Stegostoma tigrinum: one gene and its partner. The protein of the gene in region 1 purifies or fractionates together with the protein of each later gene. This does not show direct contact. Links are inferred from orthologs where the notes say so. Each region holds a gene or a part of one and is shown on either strand. Other genes may lie near its edges.

The links.
Region 2: the proteins of ap1b1 (region 1) and AP-1 complex subunit sigma-2 purify together in Homo sapiens (affinity purification with mass spectrometry; 5 studies listed by BioGRID and IntAct, counting the BioPlex papers as one, with this or other methods). This does not show direct contact. The link is inferred for Stegostoma tigrinum from reciprocal best matches to the Homo sapiens genes AP1B1 and AP1S2.

The regions. Positions count from the first base shown.
Region 1 is NC_081379.1:21,050,382-21,059,023, reverse strand, and holds the start of ap1b1 (AP-1 complex subunit beta-1), read right to left. Parts: upstream 3,091-8,642; 5' UTR 2,947-3,090; intron 1-2,946. UniProt on the Homo sapiens protein: Subunit of clathrin-associated adaptor protein complex 1 that plays a role in protein sorting in the late-Golgi/trans-Golgi network (TGN) and/or endosomes.
Region 2 is NC_081365.1:79,275,593-79,284,202, reverse strand, and holds the start of AP-1 complex subunit sigma-2, read right to left. Parts: upstream 3,101-8,610; 5' UTR 3,027-3,100; intron 76-3,026; coding exon 1-75. UniProt on the Homo sapiens protein: Subunit of clathrin-associated adaptor protein complex 1 that plays a role in protein sorting in the late-Golgi/trans-Golgi network (TGN) and/or endosomes.

The DNA of each region.
Region 1 (8,642 bases):
AAGAGAATAAGGAGGAGAATTTTGAAATTACAAGTCCCATAGCTGGACTGGGAATAGAAGTAGCTCAGCGAGCAGAGCCAATTGGTGATTGAATCTCAGTGCAAATTAGTGTAAAGAAATGGAAGAAGCCATGATAGTTAATTTTCCTTAGTTTTTACCAGAATGAATAACAAAGGAGGTTGAGGGGTGACCTTAGAGGCTTACAAACTGAGTATAAAATGAATAGCAAGGTGCTTTCCCTGGCGTTGGAAACTTCAAAACTGGAGGCTTAACTTAAAGGTGACAGGGGAAAGATTTAAGATGGACTGGAGGAGCAACGTTTTCACAAAGAGGGTGGTGCGCATATGGAATAAGCTAGCAGAGGAAGTGGCAGATACAGATGTAGTTACAAAATTTAAAAGACATTTGGACAGGTACATGAATAGGAATGATTTAGAGATGGTACGGGCCAATTAGAGGCAAATGGGACTAGTTTATTTTGGGAAACTTGGTCGGCATGGACGCGTTGGACCAAAGTATCTGTTTCCGTGCTGTATGACATTCTGACAGATATAGCATTAAAATGAAATCCAAAGCAAAAACAGATAATTAGGATGGAGAAAGATAATTGTTGGACTAATTAAATTTAGAAATGATTAATTTTTGTTCAAAATTAACTACATCCACACAGTTAAAAGAGAACTAAGAGCTGGCAGATTCAAAATAAAATCCATAGAATAGCAAACCAGGTCAGGAAAATAAATGGACAATCAATATTATTCCTGTATTCAAAAGGGCGATAGAACAAATAAGGAGTTATTGTGAAGTTAACTAAAAATTAATCGTTAAAAAGTGGAATATTTACTCAAGTGTGAATGCCAACCATCTAGAAACTGCACACACATCAGTCAGTTTACAGAGTTCTTTGAAGTCATAAAATGCAAGAGTAAAGTTAATTCAGCAGGTGCAATATTAGATAGACTTTCAAACTACCTTTCATTTAGGTAAATAAGAGGCTTATGCCTGCAGGCTAGCATGCAGATTCTGGGGACAAGTAGCAGAACAAATCGAAAACTGAATATAAACCAAAAAGTATTCAAAGGAGTTACAGACTATCAAGGTGAGGGAATCTAGGACCAGAGGGTACAATCTTAGAGTAAGGGTTGTCCATTTAAGACAGAGATGAGGAGAAAACTTTTCTCCAGGACAGTAGTCAATTTGTGAAATTCTTTGCTGTGGTGGGCTGTCAAAGCTGGGTAATTAAGTATATTAAAGGTTGAGATGGACATATTTATAATTAGTAATGGAATTAAGGATTTATAGGGATAAGGAAGGTGGAGTTACGATATCAGATCAGCCATGATTGCAATGAATGACAAACAGGACCTCATGGACCAAATGGTCTATATTTGATCTTATGGTAGTGGTCCTCCATAGGGATTGGTATAGGGACCATTTCTGTACATGAATGCAAAAATTATCGAAGAATGAAAAGAATCAGAATTGCATTATCAAAACTTGCAGATACCTTTTTGGGAGATATGGCTAATAGCAAGAAAGATTACACCAAAATAAAAAACAAGCTCAAAAAATCTGTAGAATAGATGTGTAAATGGCAAAGTAATTTCAAAATATGAGAGGGGTGTTGTACTCTGGTAGTAGACATAAACAAGTCACATTTCCCTTGGAAAATTATCTTAAGTGGGGTAGGGATACAAACAAATCAATAAAAGTAGAAACAGGTCAACAAAGTCACAAAATGCAAATAATACATTGGGTGGGAAGTGGTTTGCATGGAGCATAAACACTTGAATAAACACATTAAACTGAACAGCCTGCATCTGTACTATAAAGGACAGTGTAATAAGTATTTGAATGTTTCAGAACCATTCAACCTATCACATCATCGAAACAAGCTACCCAATTTGGTTCCTGCATATTTTGCATTAGACAAATATTGCCCGAAATTACCCATAGGCAAGTATATTAAAGTAGTTGAACTCTATTTTAAAGTTGACATTGAGTGCATACAAAACAGTCATATCCATTTATGAACAAAACAGCTTCAGACCTTAGTAATGAAGACTTTGTTTCTTAAAAGAGACAAAACAAACAATTTCAAACCGAGAAGATCCAGGATTGTCATTTGCTACAAGCACAAATTGAACCTAACACCAAAACAGCAATCGATGTGGAGTCAAGGAGATCAGAATTTTCCTGTCACTACCCGGCCAGGGCAAACTGAGCTCAGTTAAATTTCAATGCTGAAGAGGAAACGGAGCTTGCCCATCAGCATGACGACCCAATTCCTTGTTTCTGGTCATTTAGTCAATGCAGCATTTCAGATGGCCGGTGGAGACTGGATGGGCAGAATGGCTTCTATCTGCACTGTGATTCTACTTGACGTTTGCCAGCACAACAGCGATTGCACTTCAAAGACATTCGCCGGGCCAAGAGCTTTGAGACAGGACTTAAACACAAGTCTGTATTAATCACAATCAGGGAGACCGTAGGAAGAAACAGTTGGGGGTGGGAGAATGTGGTGAAGATAAGGGCGCTATTTAAAAGGGAATGACTGTGTTATTAAGGGAACACGCACGATTTACAAAAAATATTAAATTTTAACAGTGAAATGCGTCCGGTTTGCCATGTCTGCCCGAGGGGCGGGAGAGAGGGAAGGGGGCGGCTCACAGTCTCCTACACCTGCTCGGGGTCCTGGAGGCCCAGGTTGGGTAAGGTCCTGGCCCCAGAGGCCGGGTAGATAGAGGGCAGCGACTGCGTGTGCGCGCGCGCCCCGGGAAAGGGCTCAACCCCCACCGCACACCCCAGACCTCAGACTCCTGACTCCCAGCTCACTCGATCTCAACTTCCGGCCACGGCAGAAAAATTAACTTTCAGCAGGCGGACAATGGTGGGTGGGGGGGGGGGGGAATGTAGAAAGCGAGAAAGAGAAGCGTAAGCACCCACCTCCCCGCGGTCACTCGGCTGAAATGAAAGTCCAGTCTCCGGTCGAGAAGGGGGCCCCCGCCAGATCGACTCCGTCCTCCGAACACCAATTGAAGCTTCAAGATGTCCGCCCGTCGCCAAGCTGCGCTGTCACCCAGCTGAACCGGAAACAATGCGCGCCACGAGGCGGGGGGCGGGGCCAGCTTCCGACCACGCCCCCGGATCCTGCCCCAGGTCCGAGCTCCCCCAGCAGTTGCAATGCAGGCTGCCTGCAGCAAAGTTCACTGTTAGACGAGGTTGCCCCAAAATCAAAACCCATATCATCTCCTAACTTAAGAGTCGAGCTGCAAAAATAATTGCTTTTAAAAAAACATAAATAGGGTGTGCTGGAGAAACCCAGCACGTCTGGCAGCACCTGTGGAGAGAGAGAGAAATGTAAACAAAGTCAAATCTCCTGCTCCTCTGATGCTGCTTGGCCTGCTGTGTTCATCCAGCCCCACACCTTGTGAAAGTGATGATGGGAACTGCAGATGCTGGAGAATCCAAGATAATAAAATATGAGGCTGGATGAACACAGCAGGCCCAGCAGCATCTCAGGAGCAATGCTGCTGGGCCTTTTGTGTTCATCCAGCCTCACATTTTATTACCACACCTTGTTATCTCAGATTCTCCAGCATCTGCAGTTCCTACTATCTCAAATCTTTCCAGGCCAGTGTGATTTCAGAAGTCCTTTCACGTTATGTTTCTCTGACCACAGATGCTGCTGGTTTTGCCGAATTTCTCCAACACTTTCTAATTTTCTTTTCCATTTCCAGCATCCATAACATTTTGCTTTAATTTTTATTTTATTGCCGTTCCCCTACAAAACAAGTTGAAAATTGGTTCATAAACCCCATTAGTGTCTTAATGTCGAGCATAAAACAATTTGTAAAGCACCAATAGCTCAAAAAGTGAATAATGATGTCCTTTTTTGACAAGTGCTCAGAAGGAACAAATAGTTGCCATTGCCAGAGTAGCAGTGTCAGTCCACTTTAGATCACATAGAAATGGGATCTGAGGGAAAAAAATTCTCAGCCATTTCTTTGTAAACAGCGTAAATACTTAACAAATGTTTATAGGTTTGCACTTGTATGGATTCCAGCACACATCTGTCAAAAGGAGCCGAGATCTGAGGTCAGAAGTCACACAACACCAGGTTGTAGTACAACAGGTTCATTTGAAAGCGTAAACTTTCACATTGCTGCTCCTTCGTCAGTTGAGTAGAGAAAGGCACACATCATATGATAGTTATACATATTGGCAGCGGTCTCCAGCCCCTTTATGAAGATTACCAATTGGTGATGATAAACATGATGTCATGACTTAATTGGGAATAATGTGCTGTTGATTATGTTCTGCAATTCTGCAAGCCATCACCAAAATCTGTAAAATGTAAATTAGCCCACGAAAATGATCAAGTTGCTGAACTGGCTGTATTCAGATCAAAAGTAATTCTCACCCGGTTTCATCATTAATAGGAAATACTTGTCTATTTGTTGCAACTCCATTAACTTTAACAAATAGGAGAGAGTCCCTAATCTGCTGCAATACGTCTTAAACAATACCCTTTTAAAAAGCTAAAAATTAACAGTCTTATTCATAATTTAGACAAACAAAAGACAGATGGTTTGGCACATGCCTGGAAAAACATGTAAACAGGGAATAAAATCTGAAGATCAAACAGCCAGAGCCCCAGCATGTTAAATAATTTCCTATAGATCCTTTTATTTTTAGGAGTGATGACACTGTTGATGTAAAGCATTGTTCATTTTTCAATTGGTAGTTGATCCTTGACCTAGGTCTCAGAATAAGGGATGCATATTTAAGACAAAGATGAGGAAGGATTTCTCCTCTCAGAGCATTATGAATCTGTGGAATTCTTTATTGCAGATGGCTGTCGAGGCTGGATCGTTAAGTAGATTCAAGGTTGAAATAGGTAGAGTTTCAGGAAATCAAGGGTTATGAGGAAAAGACAGGAAAATGAAGTTTAAGTTTATCAAATCAGGCATGATTTCAATGAATGGCAAAGCAGACTCAATAGGCTGAATGGCCCGCTTCTGCTCTTATGTCTATGGTCTTAAACACTTCTTTTGAATCACCCCACCCTTAAAGACAGCTTCAGTTACTGTAACTTGATTGCACTTACTTTATCCTCTGGTGATGGATTTTGGCTAGTATTGTGCTGGTCACCACTTGATGGAAAAATATCTGGAACCTGTTTCTGTAGCTGTTTTATCTACCTAATCTCAATTGGATGTACTGTGATTCTTGGCAAAGGTATAAATTTCACTCTGATCACAGGAGAAAGTCAACTCTGTTCATGGCTCCTTCTATGAATGTTCTAGATAACAATTCACTTCCTAGTTGCACTTTGTACAACAGAACTGGGATATATTCTGCCTTTATCATGTTTATTAACTCTTTAGCTTTTATTGCACTCTCTGAAGGGAAAACTGTATCCTTCTGGAAAAGAGCTTGTGAAGAGACAATGGGACAGTGGAATTATTGCTGAGGTGGTAATCCAGAGACGCAGGTAATATTCTGGGGGAAACAGAGAGAATGTAAGAGAAGCTCAGCAGGTCTGGCAGCATCTGTGGAGAAAGAAACAGAGTTAATGTTTTAAGTCCTGTCATTTCTTCAGAACTGGGAACCAGGGATTCAAATACCAACATGGCAAGTGGTAAATTTTGAAGTCAATAATCATCTTGAACTAAACGTTTAATGATGATCTTGAAACCACAGTTGATGATCATGAAAAACACCCATGCAGTTCATTAATACCACCTAGGGGAAGAAAATCTGCCATCCTTGCCTGGCCTGGCCTACATGCAACTCCAAACCCACAACCACCTGACTCATAACTGTCCTACGATGTAATGTTTAGATTTATCAACTGCTAGAAAGTGACAAAAAGGGAACAAAAGAATGAAAATGGATGGATCATTGAGCATTGACAAAAGCTCTAGAAATGACAACAGCAAGTTCAGCCCTTCAACTCTGAAAAATCGCCTTCACTAACAGATTAGTACCACAATTAGAGACTGAGCAACAGCCTGGCATATACTCAAGGAATCATAGTTTATGAACAATGTCCCAGACTACTCCCTCACCATATAATACAGCTTGAGGAAATTCAGCAATGAGTCGATTCACTAGAGTCTGAGCTTTTCCAATAGATGCAAGGTTCTTGCTGCTAGTCTGGACAGGGTACAAGAAGGATGAGTGAACTGATCACTGGTCCAGGGCACCATTTAAGTAGGAGGAGAAAAGAAAATGTAGTAGTAATATGGGGAGCATAGTTAGGCAAATTGATGTTGTTCTTTGTAGCAAAGACAGGCATTCCTGAAGGGTGTGTTGCCTACCTGGCGCTGAGGTTTGGGACAACTCTTCTGGTCTGGATAGAAACTTGGAGTAGGTGACAAAAGATCCAGTTATTGTGGCCAACAACATGGATAGGACCAAGAAAGTGTTCTGCTGAGGAAATAAGAACAGCTCAGGGTAAAGTTAACCACAGAGATAACAATCTCCAGACTACTATCTGTGCTGTGTGCAAATTGGCACTGGGTAAATAACATTAGAGGTAAATGTGTGTCTCAAAGATTGATGTAGGAGAAACGAGTTCTGATTCATGGGGCACTGGTACTTTCACTGGAAAGTGAAAGCTGTTCCATTGGCACAGGCTTCTTTTGAAAAATGCTGGGGCAAATGGTATAACTAGGGCTGTAGATAGGCCTTTAAACTAATTCGTGGGAAGTGGTGAGTGTTCAATTGAAAGGAAGATTGAAAAGTCAACTAGAGTCAAGAGAGCAAAGGTGCATGACAGTGAGGAGGTGAACAATAATCAAAATGTGATGGGAAGGGGTAGAAAATATTTGCAAAATAGTGCAACAAGATTAGATCCATAGTTAGTAATAAGGTTTAAAACATCAGAGTTTAAACTCCTTTATTTGAATGCAGAAAGCACTTTCAAAAGGACTAGGCAAATCAAAATCAATGGATATGATTTGATAGGCTATTGCAGATTCATAGTTGCTGGGTGACCAAGATTGAGAACTCAGAACAAGGGTATTCAGTGTTATTGAAGAATAGGCTTAGAAGTAAAGGACATATGCATGGTGAAAACTGAACACTGCTTTTCCTCTCAATCTGCCCAGGTGAGACACTGCTGACAAGTGCAAGCGCACATCACCTTTCAGTTAAGTAAACTCTGTTATTGTTGGGAGTAAATTAAAGGAATCCTGATGTTTAAAAATCTCCTGGATTGAATTTAATAGCCACTAGTAGATTGAGGGTGAATCCTCTAGTCTTCTGGCTATTCTGAGACCATTAGCAGCCCTAGCCATATGAAAGTGTGGAGCTGGAAAGATTTACAGCCACTGGAGCGTGATTCAAATACAGAGTATGAAGAGATTTGCAGCACCCATGTATCACAAATGGAGCTGAAAGGGGAAGCTTGGGAAGGAGAGACAGTGGATAGAGAAGCTTGAGAAAAGTTTACCTCACCATAATATGGAGCTTTTGTTTTCTCTCTGACAGTTGGCAAATTGTTCCCAATTGCCCAAAGTTTACTATTGATGAAATAAATGATGTTGCTTTTAAAATGCGCAGATTTGCAGGAGCATTGATGCAAGAAACGTTCCAGTTTTATAACACCCGTGAAAATTCCAGTTGGTTGTGAGACCAAGAGAGAGAAGTTTAACTTTTCTTATAAATTGCATTTCTTATTACTATGCATGTATTGGGATGTCTGCAGAAATAAAGAGAGCTGCCACCTCCAGAACTCGCACATCGCCGTTTCTGAATAATTGCCTGTATCCATTAGCATAAATAAGCTTGATTCATTACAGTGTTGGTATAAAACAATAAACTTTATCAGATTTTCACAACTTGAGTTGCTGAGGCTGAAAACATACAATTTTTCCACACATTCTCCTTCTTAGCATTTTGCAAAATCAATGTCCTTATAATATTTTCTTAAATTAGAGCGCTTATTCTGTTAATAACTGAAAAGTAGGATTTCAACAGCATATTTTTAAAATTCATATAATATTTCAATTGACTGCAAAAAATATTAAGCAGATATTTTATCAAATTTGTTTTCTTCCTTCTTCCAAAAACCACAACCTGTGCTAGAGCATAATTCTGTTAGAACCAATAGTTCTCCAATATCTCAACTGTTAGTTTTTGCATTATGTTTGGGCAATGTTGAGAAATCTAACATCATAGCTGAAAGCTAATAGCATCCTGACTTAAAATTAAACCTCATAAAATCCACCCAGCGGGGTGGTGATCAGGGATAGGAAATCTGACTGACTTTATTCACGTTTGCATGGAGACGCACGTAGATTTTACAAGGGGACAGAATAAATCCTCCACATCATAAAAGTCACCCAGAAACCTTATGACATGAAATCTGGAAGCCCACCCCTACCCTCATCCCCACAACCACAATACCCAATGGGCATCCATAATTAGTTAAGAGTGCAACATCCACCCTTCAGGGACAGGAAAACCCTCCCCAGCCCTGTGAGTTACCAGCTAATCAGATTGTCAAGTTGCTCATTAGCTCTGTTGTCCTAGCACCACCTGGAGTCAACAATGACCACTTTGGGGACAAGATCAGAAATCACACGACACCAGTTTATAGCCCAACAGGTTTATTGCAACCTCCAAGAACA
Region 2 (8,610 bases), on another chromosome or scaffold:
TTTGTCTGAGAGGGGGACATACCATTTTTGCAATCGAAGTTTCCCCTGACGACTAAAAAGCAGCATAAACTGCATCTGTTAGAAGAAAATTGAAGATTTAGCAGATGACATTACTTTGATTTATTTTTCCATGATAACTAATTATACTGAATGAACAGAATGAAACCAAAATCAGTCAGGTCAACAAGTCTAAGCTAGTGTTTTGACCAATTTGAACCTCCTACTTTACATCTTTAGATTCCTTTCTCTCTTAGGTTTATATGACTTAATCTTAAAGGACATCTATCCCATTTGCTACAGCAGCTCTATGCAAGGTTTTTATATTTAGTCATTGATGGAACGTGGACATCATTAGCATGGCGAATATTTATTGCCCATTCCTAACTGCCTTTAAAAACGGTGATGGTGAATAGCCTGGAGATAGCAAGAACTACAGATGCTGAAGTTAGAGACGACATAGAACGGAGCTGGAAGAACACAGCAGGCCAAGCAGCATCAGAGGAGCAGAAAAGTTGACGCTTTGGGTCGGGACCCTCCTTCAGAATAAAAGGCCCTGACCCGAAATGTGAACTTTCCTGCTCCCTTGGTGAAGAGCCTTCTTGAACCGCTGCAGTCCTTCAGGTGTAGGTATGAGATGATGTTGCTTAAGGAGCTTTGGTGAGATGTTGCGGTGCACCTTGTTGAAAGTCACAAAGAATTGCTTTAAATTCTTGGATTTCCTTTTGAACATAATGCTGTGTGGTTCACCATGCAGCAGTTCCAAGATTGCATGCATAGCAATCAGCACAGGCATGCTGATTGCACACCGATTTCTGGTTCCGTAAGTCACTGCAACACAAGGACCTTGGAACGCTGTGCAGCTAGAAAAAAAAATTAGAAGTAACGTATATCACACTGATGAGCCACAAACATTATTTGCAAATCTGACATCTCCACAGCATACACAAGATTCATTTATCTTCCATAAAAGACTTACATTTATATACTCATTTGTCACATCCTCAAGATTTCCAAAGCATTTCACCAGTAATGCAATATTCTTAAATTGTATTAATTCCCATGACTTAGGAAACATGCAGCCAACTGACATGTAGGAAACTCCTACAAACAGCAACAGGATTCCAACTGGTACCTTTTGGTGTGGAGGGGTAAATATTAGCCAGAAATCCCCCAATCTTCAAAAATAGTGGCATGGAATCTTTAATGCCCACTTAAGAGGCCACCAAAGAATGAAAAAATAGAGTTAACATTTCAGGTCAGATGATCCTTCCTCAGAACTGGAAGGGTCATCAGACCCAAAACGTTAACTCTGTCTTTTCCTTCACAGATGCTGCCAGACCTGCTGCGCTTTTCCAGCAACTTTGTTTTTGTTACTGATTTACAGCATCCGCAGTTTTTTGGGCTTTTATTAACCATTTGGAACTCGCTGGCCAGTTGCATATCAAACTAATGAATATTTTCTGTTGCAGATCATCTTGTGACACTGGTACTATCCCTATCCCTGGGCAAGAAGGAGGTCTGAGCAGGTTACTTAAAAATATTAGAACTGCATTATCCTAAATGAAATACCAAGAATCACTTCATGACCAGATGAGATCTTATTCCTAGGTTTGAGATCCTGGTTCTCAAATGCATCTCAGTCTGTTCAGCTGTCACACTTAAGAGGATGAAGAGTGTCGGTGTTGAAACTCATCAAGGTGGCTCCCAGGCTATGGCAAATGGCACCTTTTCCAACATTTCACCTTCATAACTTGTGAAGCCAGCAGGCACACCGTCAACATAAGCTACTTTGCAAATTCAAGAAAATTTCTTAACTTGACCTTACAGAAAAGGAAAACAGTAAGCTTTAGATCTTGAAATAATGCCAAATGATTAACCCATAAAACCAAACTCTTTAAATAAGTCAACAAAACAGTGCAAGTGCCAACTTTTAATGTGACCTAGAACTGATGACATGCTCAATTCTTTAAAAAACCCTCAGTATTGCTGCAGTATTGAAAGACCTCTGGCCTGATCCACACTCAGATTTCCATTCAGTTAGTGTCAAAGCAATTATTACAATCAGCCAACAAAACGCCCGCAAATCTGGCAGTCATATGAACTAGTCACAAGCTTCAAGCAAAACACCAAAACTAGAAAACAAACTGCTGAGGATGATGAATCAATTTCATTAAACAAATTTCTGAATTCAAAGGAGCTGCCAAGTGTTAATGAAACATGACAGTTTTAAATTTTTCAAGACCTAATCCTGAGAGACAGACACAGACACAGAGAGGTAGCAGTGTTTGTGGATTAGGAGGGAATCACAGACTCCCTTCAGTGCAGAAAGAGGTCAGTTGGCCAATCGAGTCAACAACAGCCCTTTGAAGAGCATCCTTTCTAGCCAACTCTACTCCTATAACCCAGCTTGCACATCCCTGGACACTATGACAATTACAGCACAGCCAATCCATCTAACCTACACATTTATGGGCTGGGAACAGGGCTGAGGGGTGGGGGCAGGGGTCTGGTGGGGCTGGACGTGGGCTGCTGGGGAAAGGGGGGCAGCGAGGAGGGGAAGGCGAGTGGAGAGGATAGGGGCTGGAGAGATGAGGGAGAGGAAGGGGGCTGGGGAGGAGGGGCAGATGGCTGGGGGGAGTGAAAGAGGATGGGCGGTGAGGACTGCAAGAGCATGGGGGCTGGTGGGGTGAGGGAGAGGATAGAGGCTGGGGGACTGGATGGCCCTGGGGGAGTGGATAGGGGCTGGGGGAGTGGATAGGGGCAAGGGAGCGGATAGGGGCAAGGGAGCGGATAGGGGGGAGGATGGGTGGGGGGGGGGGTTTGGGAAGAAGTGGATTTTAGTGGATGATAGGGGGACGGGTGAGGAAGACGTTCTGGGTCGCACTCTCGGACAGGCCTCGGGTTCCAGCTGTTTCCCACCCGCCTTCCGACAACACCCAAAACCCTGAGACTGCAGCATCCCCACAGAACCCGGGAACCCCACTCCCATCCATCGCCACCGTGCCAGCTTCTCGGCTCCCCCTCACCTTCGCCCTCTCTCCGGCCGTTACCGCCCGGGACCCGCTCTCCGCATTAGACCCGCCTCAAGCACGCCTTCTCTCTCGTCATTGGTAGACAGGCGGAGGCGTTGCCCGGATCTCTGCGCGGTGAGTGGCTAGATTCCACGTCAATCGGTGCCCCGCGGCGACAATTGCGGCTATAATTGGACAGTTTCCACATCTATCTCCTTGGTGTGCCACGCCCCAATTCCTGACACGCCGATTGGCTGCGACCACGAGCGGGGGGCTGTCAATCAACTGTTGGCCCCGCCCTGCAGGGGAGGGAAGCAAGTTAATGTTGTGTGGGCCGTGGAAGTAATTGAGCAAAACTTCACTCCCTCAGCAAATCTTTCTCTCCCTGAACATAACCGTCACTTAGCAAAGCCTCTCTCACTCAGCGAAACCTGAAATCGGTTGGCAACACCATCTCTCAGTCAGTAAAATACTCACTCCCACAGCACAACATCAGTTTTCCTCAGGCAAAACCTCAACTCATTGAACAAGTTCTCCACCCCTACATCACAAGACATGCACCCTAATCAAAAATGGCCACTTCCTGAAAAAAAATCTCCACTCCACCGTAAGGAATATCCAACTCCCTCCAGCAAAATCTACAGTTCCTCACCAAAAACTTCAACCTCAGCAAAATATTCACTTCATGACCAAAATGCCCATTTCATCATCAGAAATTCCATCCCTCACCAAAATCTTCACCCCCCCCAACACCTCCATCAAATCTACAACCTCTCTCCAGAAACATTCTCTCCGTCACCATCAACCCCACTTTCTCACCAGAGCATCCATTCCCTCACGAAAATCTCTATCACCAAAACCTCCACCCTATCCAAACTTTCACACCCTCTCCAAAAATATCCAGTTTGTCACCAAAAACTCCACTTGCTCATCATTAATTCTGTTTCTTCACCAAAATTCTCCAATTCCCCATAGAATTTCTGTTTTGTTATGAACCTAGACCAGGAATGTTATAGTCTGATTAAGGACGAGTAACCTTTAATTTTAAAGTTAAAAGAAGTGAGATCTAAGCGAATTATTAAGAGAGTAAAGCCTCAAGGTTCCACAGGTTTGAACAAACAACAACAAACTGTACTATGGAATGTTCAAGTAGTAATACAATCTACAGTATATATGCAACATTTCCAACACCTAGAATTAAGATGTGCTAAATATATATGTGTATACATATTTAAATTATCTCCACAAGCATTGCCTATCTGTCTCCAAAACACCATTCAAGTTATTTTTTTCTGTACCACGTGGAAGCAGGCCATTTGGCCCATCGAGTCCACACCAGCCTTCTGAGGAGTATCCCATCCGGACTCACCTACTGACCCTGCTGAGAGCCTCATCTATCCCTTTATCACCTCTATATCTGCCTATTGCCCCAATATTCTGCCTGGCCTCCTGTTTTCAATCCTCTGTAAACTTGAAGTCATCTGAAACCCTCTGCCCATGTCTTACTATTCAACTAAGTTTGTTCTCTGGGGCGTCCTTGATATTAATCTTTGGTTTGAGTCATTCTGGCCTTGGTTGTCATGTCATCAGCTGCCTCGTCTTTAAGCTTCAGAATATTCTGTCTCTAAACGTCTGCTTCTCCATCTCTTCTTCATCCTTTAATATATCATTTGAAACCTAGTTCTCTGTTAAGCTTTTGCTTGTGTCTCTCATGAATTGTTTATGAGGTGCAATGACAACACTTTGCCTTAAGGATGTCTCACTATATTAAAATTGCTGTTTAAGTACAAGTTCCTGTACCTCAGGAGTACAGGTATTACATTCCCCAATGTTTCCAATTAGGGACGTGAGCTATAAAAGCTCATGCCCCAAAGGCATCATTAGTAATAAATAATTATAACTATTTACAGTAGAGCAAAATGATACAAACAAAAACTTAAAAAATCATGTTGACTGGGATGTTGGGATGTTGACTGTCTAAGCCCTATAGTGCCCTCACAGAAAGGGATTCAGTGGCAAACAGGGATTACATGGCAAATATAGAATCTGCTACAAAGATACAATCTATTTAGATCAACCATGCCAATGCTTATACTCCATAAGAGCTCCCACCTCACATCAGCCAACTGTTCAACACCCTATTAAAAGTACCCCTGCCTCATTGAGTACACCCCCACAAATCATTTTTTTTAAATTCTTTCATAGGATATGGTGGCATTAGCAAAGGCAGCATTTAAACTAACTTGTGAGGGTAGGGTTGGGAGAGGGGAAATGTGGGCTTATAAAGCAAGGGGATGTGACAGCATTAGAGGCAGCTTTTTGGATGATGATACCTAGACTGGGTCAGGAAGAGTTAGATTGTAGAAACATAGAAAAACAGCAGTAAATAGGGTCAAGTGGGGCTCTTTAATGCACAGGGTATCCCAAATAAAATAAAATAAATTAATTACATGGGTAACAGGAACTGCAGATACTGGAGAATCTGAGATAACAAGGTGTAGAGCTGGATGAACACAGCAGGCAAAACAGCGTCAGAGGAGCAGGAAGGCTGACCTTTCAGGCCAAGACCTTTCTTCAGAAATGGGGGAGGGGAAAGGGATTCTGAAATAAATAGGGAGAGAGGGGGAGGCGGATAGAGGAGAAGATAGGTGGAGAGGACACAGACAGATCAAAGAGGCAGGGATGGAGCCAGTAAAGGTGGGTGTAGGTGGGGAGGTAGGGAGGAGATAGGTCAGTCCAGGGAGGATGGATAGGTCCAGGGGGCAGGATGAGGTTAGTAGGTAGGAGGTGGGGGTGGGACTTGAGGTGGGAGGAGGGTATAGGTGGAAGGAAGGACAGGTTAGGGAGGCGGGGATGAGCTGGGCTGGTTTTGGAATGTGGTGGGGGAGGGGAGATTTTGAAGCTTGTGAAGTCCACATTAATACCATTGGGCTGTAAGGTTACCAAGTGGAATATGAGTTGCTGTTCCTGCAATCCTTGGGTAGCATCGCTGTGGCACTGCAGGAAGCCCAATATGGACATGTCATCTGCAGAATGGGAGGGGGAGCTGAAATGGTTTGCAACTGGGAGGTGCAGTTGTTGAGTGCGAACTGAGCATAGGTGTTCTGCAAAGTGGTCCCCAAGCTTCCGCTTGGTTTCCCTGATGTAGAGGAGGCTACAATGGGAACATCGGATACAGCATACCACATTAGCGGATGTCCAAGTGAACATCTGCTTAATGTGGAAAGTCTTCTTGGGGCCTGGGGTGGGGGTGAACAGGGAGGTGTAGGGGCATGTGTAGCACTTCCTGCGGTACAGGGAAAAGTGCCGGGTGTGGTAGGGCTGGAGGGGAATCTGGAGCAGACAAGGGAGTCTTGGAGAGAGTGGTCCCTCCAAAAAGCAGATAAAGGTGGTCAGGGAACAATGTCTTTGGTGGTGGAGTCGGATTGCAGATGGCAGAAGTTTCGGAGGATGATGCATTGGATCCAGAGATTGGTGGGGTGGTACATGAGGATGAGGGGGATTCTGTTTTGGTTGTTAGTGCGGGGAGGGGGTTTGAGGGACGAGTTGTGGGAAATGTGGGAGACACAGTCGAGGGCGTTCTCAACCACTGTTGGGGGGAAGTTGCGGTCTTTGAAAAACTAGGACATCTGAGATGTACGGGAGTAGAATACCTCATCCTGGGTGCAGATGCAGCGGAGGCCTAGGAATTGGGAATAGGGGATGGCAATTTTGCGGGAAGGTGGGTGAGAGGAGGTGTATTCTAGATAGCCGTGCGAGTCGGTGGGCTTGAAATGGATATTGGTTTCTATGTGGTTGCCAGAGGTGGAGACAGAGAGGCAGGCATAGCTTGTGCCCGTGCGGGTACCCATGGCCACCCCCTTTGTCTGTAGGAAGTGGGAGGAATTGAAAGAGAAGCTGTTAAGGGTGAGGACATGTTTGGCCAAGCGGATGAGGGTGTCAGTGGAGGGGGACTGGTCAGGCCTGCGGGACAGGAAGTAGCGGAGGGCCTTTAGGTCATCTGTATGGGGAATGCAGTTGTATAGGGACTGGGCATCCATGGTAATGATGAGGTGTTGGGGACGGGGGAATTGGAAGTTCTGGAGGAGGTGAAGGGCATGGGTGGTGTCACGGACATAGGTAGGGAGTTCCTGGACTAAGGGGGAGAAAATGGAGTCGAGATAAATTCGGTGGAGAAGGAGCAGGCAGTGACAATGGGTCAACCAGAGCAGCCAGGTTTGTAGATTTTGGGAAGGAGACAGAAGCGTGCAGTGCCCGTTTGGGGAACAATGCGGTTAGAGGATGTGAGTGGGAGGTCACCTGAGGTGATGATGTTATGGATGGTTTGGGAGATAATAATTTGGTGGCTGGGGGTGGGGTCATGATCAAGGGGCCGGTGGGAGGAGGTGTCAGAGAGTTAGCGTCTGACCTCGAGGTCAGTGTGCCATACTACGACTGCGCCTCCCTTGTCCTCGGGTTTTGTGGTGAGGTTAGGATTGGAGCTGAGGGAGCAGAGGGCTGCATGTTCTGTGGGGGAGAGGTTGGAGTGGGTGAGAAGGATGGAGGGGTTGAGACGATTGATTTCTCAGCAGCAGGCGGAGATGAAGAGGTCGGGGGACGTCTTTGCAGAACACCTATGCTCGGGTAGCACTAAACAACTGCACCTCCCAGTTGCGAACCATTTTAACTCCCCCTCCCATTCCTCAGACGACTTGTCCATCTTGGGGCCCCTGCAGTGCCACAATGATGCTACCCGAAGGTTGCAGGAACAGCAACTCATATTCCGCTTGGGAACCCTGCAGCCCAATGGTATCAATGTGGACTTAACAAGCTTCAAAATCTCCCCTCCCCCTACCACATTCCAAAACCAGCCCAACTCGTCAACCCTCCCTAACCTGTCCTTGCTTCCACCTATCCCCTCCTCCCACCTCAAGTCCCACCTGCATCTCCTGCCTACCAAATTCATCCTGCCCCCTTGACCTGTCCATCCTCCCTGGGCTGACCTACCTCCTCCCTACCTCCCCACCTACTGGTTCACCACCTTTACCGGCGACATCCCTGCCTCTTTGATTTGTCTGTCTCCTCTCCACCTATCTTCTCCTCTATCCATTTTCTATCCACTTCCCCCCTCTCCCTATTTATTTCAGAACCCCCTTGCCCTCTCCCATTTCTGAAGAAGGGTCTCGGCCTGAAACGTCAGCCTTCCTGCTCCCCTGACGCTGCTTGGCCTGCTGTGTTCATCCGGCCCTACACCTTGTTATCTCTAAATTAATTACACACACAGTTCTGAGGAAGATTCATCAGACCCAAATGTTAACTATGTCTTTTCCTTCACAGATGATGCCAGACCTGCTGATCTTTTCCAGCAGAGATAATGGGAACTGCAGATGCTGGAGATTCCAAGATAATAAAATGTGAGGCTGGATGAACACAGCAGGCCAAGCAGCATCTCAGGAGCACAAAAGCTGACGTTTCGGGCCTAGACCCTTCATCAGAGAGGGGGATGGGGGGAGGGAACTGGAATAAATAGGGAGAGAGGGGGAGGCGGACCGAAGATGGAGAGTAAAGAAGATAGGTGGAGAGAGTGTAGGTGGGGAGGTAGGGAGGGGATAGGTCAGTC